2 linked regions of the Macaca fascicularis genome follow. The protein of the gene in region 2 binds, or shares a complex with, the protein of the main gene of each other region. Links are inferred from orthologs where the notes say so. Each region holds a gene or a part of one and is shown on either strand. Other genes may lie near its edges.

The links. The genes of interacting proteins can lie anywhere in the genome.
Region 1: the proteins of YWHAZ (region 2) and CFTR are in contact, whole or in part, in a crystal structure (PDB 5D2D), measured with the Homo sapiens proteins. The link is inferred for Macaca fascicularis from reciprocal best matches to the Homo sapiens genes YWHAZ and CFTR. Residues at the interface, in NP_001129171.1 of Homo sapiens: Asn38, Arg41, Asn42, Ser45, Val46, Lys49, Arg56, Arg60, Glu113, Phe117, Lys120, Arg127, Tyr128, Glu131, His164, Pro165, Ile166, Gly169, Leu172, Asn173, Val176, Glu180, Ile217, Leu220, Asp223, Asn224, Thr226, Leu227, Trp228; in NP_000483.3 of Homo sapiens: Arg764, Arg765, Arg766, Gln767, Ser768, Val769, Leu770, Asn771, Leu772, Met773, Thr774.

What each region holds. Positions count from the first base shown.
Region 1 is NC_088377.1:159,037,768-159,041,336, reverse strand, and holds part of CFTR (cystic fibrosis transmembrane conductance regulator), read right to left. Parts: intron 3,552-3,569; coding exon 2,828-3,551; intron 554-2,827; coding exon 425-553; intron 1-424. UniProt on the Homo sapiens protein: Epithelial ion channel that plays an important role in the regulation of epithelial ion and water transport and fluid homeostasis. Mediates the transport of chloride ions across the cell membrane.
Region 2 is NC_088382.1:110,550,197-110,553,765, forward strand, and holds part of YWHAZ (14-3-3 protein zeta/delta), read right to left. Parts: intron 2,424-3,569; coding exon 2,300-2,423; intron 1,574-2,299; coding exon 1,410-1,573; intron 1,326-1,409; coding exon 1,230-1,325; intron 1-1,229.

The DNA.
Region 1 (3,569 bases), on a different chromosome or scaffold from region 2:
GTGATTCTAATTGGTTAATTTCAATCCAAATAAAAGCCTTCTACTTTTGAGTTTTTGAATCTCTTAACATTTATTATTAAAATCTATTAAAAACTCTTCTTATATTTGTATTTAAATATATTTTATATGTAATACGAAATAGTAAAATATCAATAGTGATTCTAATTGTTGATTTTTCAGAAGCTAAGAATTATATGAATCTATACTATTATATACTGTAAAATCACAAATATATGTAATATATAAATATATACATACTTATACATAGTTATATATGTGTGTATATATGCACACATACATGTATACATATATATGTATGTGTATATATACATATTTAAGTGTGTGCATATATATGTATACATCCTTCGAAACTATCTTAATTTAACTTTAAATCACAGTATACTTTACAATAGAACAGTCTTACCTCAGCCAGAAAAATTACCAAGCACCAAATTAGCACAAAAATTAAGCTCTTGTGGACAGTAATATATCGAAGGTATGTGTTCCATGTAGTCACTGCTGGTATGCTCTCCATATCATCAAAAAAGCACTCCTGAATAAGAGAATTATGGCTATTACAATAAGACAATACAGTTTCATGCCACCATGGTGGTTTTATTTTTAATATATGAAAATAAAGGAATAGTATTACTTGAATCTAAGTGTATTTTAACAAATATAAATCAGTATAAATGCCATGTATGATGTCATTTTATAGTCAGAATAATGTCTACTGGAGCAACACAGCTTTATTAAAACTGAGAAACACCGTAATTTTTCAAAATTCTAAAAATGTATCACTGATTATGTAACTGTATTATTATTGGACAGTTTTACCATTAAAGGCTTAACAGTGGCATACCTTTTATCAAATGAATGATACCACCTAAATGAAGTTTCCCAGAACTCTCTTTGATTTAACCTGTTTCTTCAGGGGTCCATGGACAAGTACAGGTCAGTATACTGCACTGTATATACTATAAAGGTCTTCCAGTAGACTGAAAGCCCATTTGTGTTTGAACATTCCTTAGTAACTTAGGACTATCTCTCTTTGCAACTATGATTTAAATTACATAATTCTCATCCTAGGCATATTCCTATTCCTCTAGAAATCTTTGTCTTTTGGCATATCGATACATTTCAAAATTTTGAAAAAGAGAGATTCCAGATAGTCCAAAGGAAAAAGATAGTTTTGTTTCTCACAAGATCAACAAAACTCATAGGAAAGCACTATGAATCACAAAGAAGAGGTCCTATGGTATTGGGATATAGTGCACTGGTTAGGAGTATGCATTTTTTGAGTCAGACAGATCTGAATTTGAACCCAAACTCCACCATTAACAGCCTAGGAGCCGCCTGAATTCAAGCGTGTTGCTGAACTTCTCTGAACTTTAATTTCCTTATCTGCAAATGTGAAAAATTTTAAGTACCTTCCAGGGTAGTTGTGGGGACTAAATGTATGCCACCTAGAACTAGATGCAATCCATAAATGGAAACTATTATTAGTCAAGGCTATCATTCTTTACAACTAAATTTTTAGGCTCAGGATTGAGAAATTCATTTAGATTGATATTAAATTATATAAATGGGTTGGGCACAGTGGCTCAGGCTGGGCGCGGTGGCTCATGCCTGTAATCCCAGCACTTTGGGAGGCCAAGGGGGGCAGATCACAAGGTCAGGAGTTCGAGACCAGCCTGGCCAACATGATGAAACCCCTTCTCTACTAAAAATACAAAAATTAGCTGGGTGTGGTGGTGCATGCCTGTAATCCCAGCTACTCAGGAGGCTGAGGCAGGAGAATTGCTTGAACCCAGTAAGCAGAGGTTGCAGTGAGCCGAGGTCACGCCATTGTACTCCAGCCTGGGTAACAGAGTGAGACTCCATCTCAAACAAACAAACAAACAAAACACTATATAAATGAATTATCGTTTAGGAAACCTTCGTAAAGTATGGAAATTCTAAAATTACGCACTTTAGGGATCTATTTTATTCCCTCATTTTACAAAGAAGGAAACTTCAGCCTAGAGATGTTAATGGCTTGTGTCTTGTCAAAGGTCACATTATTCTCAAATGATCTATACTATTAAATATATCAATTAATTACAACCCTGCCCATGGCTCATTTCATCCAAGGCATTAAGTTTTCTACTAAAATAACAAAAACTCTCCTTTTTACATTATTTCTTGTTTTAAAAATAAAATACTTTTATTCTTAAGACCTAATATAACAAACTTTCTGTCTGAAGATTGGCACTAGTACATGTTGAGCTTCATATACCTTCTCTAAAAGAAATCTCTTTAGCAACCCAATGTATAAAGCAAACTCACAAGATAAAAAAAGCCCACAATAGCTAAATTCAGGCAAGACTGATACACAAACTAGAATGTGAGTCCCATCAAGAGTCTAAATGTTTATACACCTTATATAAGCTACTTCCATACAGATTATTTTGCGAGCTATAAATAATGAAAGCTACTATTTATTTATACAGTTACTTATACTGCACCTCTTCCCATAGAGGGTTCAGATGGTAATAAAGTAGATGCTTTCTAACTTATAGTCACAATTATCACTGGTTTAGTAAAGGACCGAAAACTAAATCCTTTCCCATTTTATGGGAAGAGATATGTCCATCGCAAAAAGAAATCATTTGTTATTTTACATTTTAAAGTTGCTTACATAATTAATGAACTTCATACTGTCTGAGTTTTAAGATAAACCTTATCCTAATCCCATGATTTGAGTAAATTTTGTTACATGCTACATATTGCATTCTACTCAATTGCACCCTGTATGGTGAAATACCCACAAGCAATTTATACCTACCTTTAAGTCTTCTTCATTAATTTCTTCACTTATTTCCAAGCCAGTTTCTTGAGATAACCTTCTTGAATATATATCCAGTTCAGTCAAGTTTGCCTGAGGGGCCAGTGACACTTTTCGTGTGGATGCTGCTGTCTTTCTGTGAATGCTCTGACCTTGGTTAACTGAGTGTGTCATCAGGTTCAGAACAGACTGCCTCCTCCGTGCCTGAAGCGTGGGGCCAGTGCTGATCACGCTGATGCGAGGGAGTATCACCTCTCCCTGCTCAGAATCTGGAACTAAGGACAGCCTTCTCTCTAAAGGCTCATCAGAATCCTCTTCGATGCCATTCATTTGTAAGGGAGTCTTTTGGACAATGGAAAATTTTCGTATAGAGTTGATTGGATTGAGAATAGAATTCTTCCTTTTTTCCCCAAACTCTCCAGTCTGTTTAAAAGATTGTTTTTTTGTTTCGGTCCAGGAGACAGGAGCATCTCCTTCTAATGAGAAACGGCGTAAGGTCTCAGTTAGGATTGAATTTCTTCTTTCTGCACTAAATTGGTCGAAAGAATCATATCCCATGAGTTTTGAGCTAAAGTCTGGCCGTAGATTTTGGAGTTCTGAAAATGTTCCATAAAAATAGCTGCTACCTTCATGTAAAATTAATATTTTGTCAGCTTTCTTTAAATGTTCCATTTTAGAAGTGACCAGAATCCTAGTTTTGTTAGCCATCAGTTTACAGACACAGCTTTAAGATATAAAAATA
Region 2 (3,569 bases):
TTATTGCAATATATGCTCTTCATGCTATACTGATAGCAAAATTCAGTTGGAAGCAGACAGTAGATCAGGGCCTTTCCAAAAGTGATGAGAACAAAACACAGTATCTAGGTCTCAGGTCATCACTTGAAAAATGTCATCACTTCAAACTAGAAAAGAAAAATCCTTAATACCAAAGTTAGTTAACAAAGTGCTTCTTAACATTTGATATAAAGATTCTTTCATTCTTTACTATAGCTTATTATCTTGACTCAAGTATCAGAAAAGTTTATAGGTAGCTCCAAATTGCGCTAATAAAGTAATTTTAGGTTTAATAAACAAGTATACAATGCTATTCAAAAAACAATATTTTCAGCACTAGAATATATAACTAGTTCATAGAAAATGGCAGTGGACTAGAATAAAGTTGGAAGAGAAATGTATAAAATGAGGTTATATAATCCCCAAGAGAAATGGCCCTAAAAGTCTAACAAAAAAACCGTAATACTAGATTATCATCTGCAATTCCTACCTCTTTACCTGACACAACACAGCAAATGCTTGATAATTTTTTCACCTAAGCCTCAAAATTTCAAATCTAATATTGATCTGAATGAGAAGACCTAAGAAACAAGACATACAAATCAACTGCACTGTGGACTGAATTTGAATCCCAATTCAAATAACTTAAAAAAAGAGAGACAATTGGAATTCAAGTATTATTTAGATATTCAAACATTATTAGGGAATTACTGTTGATGTTTCTAGTGTGATAGTGACACTGTTTCTTTTTATACATCTGCAGTATCCCAAGGACAATCACGACCTTTCATATTAAGTCATTTAAAAGCAGCAGCTAGGCAAAATAGACTTCCACTTAGATTCTGCAGACACCTGAGATTTTATAACTCAAGTTATTAATTCCCTACCATTATCTTTACAAATACAGAGGCAACTTGATGGGCAAGAAAATCATTCTTAAAGGAACTAAAACATGTAGAGCCTCAGTACACTTTTGATACTAACATTCAAATTTTAGTAACACAGGTAACATCAATGTGTATATTTTTTAGTTCTTAGTCTAATATTTCAGTTTCTGTAGTTTTCCTTCATATGATTTTAACAGTAGCTACTTATGAGAGCCTATGAATTGTGTTGAGAAAAAATTTTTAAAAGATTTAATAAAAATTCCTCAGAGTAAAACATAACCTCTTCAACCACATTCATCACTAATGATGCTGTTATATACTTACTGTCAAGTTGTCTCTCAGTAATTGCATTATTAGCGTGCTGTCTTTGTATGACTCTTCACTTAATGTATCAAGTTCAGCAATGGCTTCATCAAAAGCCTATGATTTAAAAATAGTACATTAGATTTCAGTGCTCAAGTAATAAAGACTGCTAAATTTCTATGTAACAGGTAAAATACATACTGTCTTTGCAAGAGAGCAGGCTTTCTCTGGGGAGTTCAGAATCTCATAATAGAACACAGAGAAGTTAAGGGCCAGACCCAGTCTGATAGGATGTGTTGGTTGCATTTCCTTTTTGCTGATTTCAAAAGCTTCTTGGTATGCTTGTTGTGACTGATCCACAATCCCTGGATAAAGACACACCAAAACGTACTGAGATAAAGTGTGCATTGTATCTTCACCCCTCAAACCAAACCTTTAATATCTCAGGTATCCTTTGAAATACTAATCTGTAACAGCTTAATACTGGTTAATTGAACAAGGCCCTTTAATTTTTTTTTAAAAGGAGTTTTCTCCTGGTATACACTAGTCATTGGTCAATGTCAAGATAAAACAACTTTATAATCTCCATTACTGTTATATTTTTAAAAAATTAACTAGTTTGCACTACTCCTCAGTTACACTGTAACCACTATTTCTTTTTTCTTGAGACAGGGTCTGGGTCTGTCACCCAGGGTGGAGTGCAGTGGCACAATCAGGGCTCACTGCAGCCTTGATCTCCCAGACCCAAGTGATCCTCCCACTTCGGCCTCTAGATTAGCTGGGACCAAAGGCTTGCACTTGCACCACCATGCCCAGCTAATTTTCAAAACATTTTTTGTAGAGAGAGATGTTGCTCAGGCTGGTCACTTTTCTTAAAATCTTGAAAAAACATCCCTGTGCACAAAATTGGCTTTTCAGAAAGCATATATATTAGAATACCAGTATTAGGCAGTAGATATATATTCTCAGAACACCAAAAAAGCACTGCTACTCCTTATTCAGCACTCTAAGCAATTAAAAGCAAGGAATTATTTACACTTCAGAGACTCTTCCTCACTAAAGTTCAACCAACAGGTTTAAAAACAGCATACCTTTCTTGTCATCACCAGCGGCAACCTCAGCCAAGTAACGATAGTAATCTCCTTTCATTTTCAAATAGAAGACTTTGCTCTCTGCTTGTGAAGCATTGGGGATCAAGAACTTTTCCAAAAGAGACTTAAGAAGAAAAGAAACAGACATAGTGAGAATAAAACATTTACAAAACTGAAAGAACTTGCATTTTTTAAAGGACAAACTATAGCCTTAAGTTATACAACTTTAACACCCAGTCACTGTCAATACAATTGTGAATGCAGCTGGCAGATGAATTTGTGGTTTAAAGCAGAATGCTTTGGGCAGCAATACTTGAAGTTTGAAGTTAGTGTTCAGTTTATTATTTGAGGACAATACAATTGAGTATCAGTCCCTGACAATGTCATCTATTTACATACTGATTTCAATGAATTTCGTGAAGCATGACCGTTCATATTTAGGAACATTTTCTAATGAGCTGGCAAGCTTTCCATCTGAAGTTTCATGTGTTCATGACATGAAAATAGAACATACGGGATGAACCTTTTGGGACTCTGAAGAAATGACTAAAGCAGAAACCAATAATGTAAGACACTTAAGGAGTCCATGCCAGAGAGAGAGGAACAAAATAAACTTCATTTATAAGAACACAATTCAAGCAAACCTCACAACAGATTAAAAAAACTGTTCAAAACGAAAGTTTCATTTTTCCTAAATTAAGACAGTGGTATGGGCCAGGCACGGTGGCTCATGCCTGTAATCCCAGCACTTTGGGAGCCCAAGGCAGGCAGATCACATGGTCAGGAGATCGAGACCATCCTGGCTAATGCGGTGAAACCCCGTCTCTACTAAAAAATACAAAAAATTGGCCAGGCGCGGTGGCAGGAGCCTGTAGTCCCAGCTACTCGGGAGACTGAGGCAGGAGAATGGCATGAACCTGGGAGGCGGAGCTTGCAATGAGCCGAGATCACACCACTGCACTCCAGCCTAGGCGACAGAGTGAGACTCCATCTCAAAAAATAAATAAATAAAAATTTAAAAAAATTTAAAAAGACAGTGGTAGGAGACTTACAGATCTTAAAAGAGCAGACCTTTAATAATCTCATTGACGTCATTTTCGGCTAGTAAGATACATGATTACAGATCATCCCAGACAACAGATAAAATTAAATCATCATCCTATAAAATTCTGTCTAAAACTATTACTACAGTCTAAGTCATTTGATCAGGATTTTAAACATTACACTCTGTAATTGAATTAGATCATTGTGTTGGGGATGGGAAGACTCA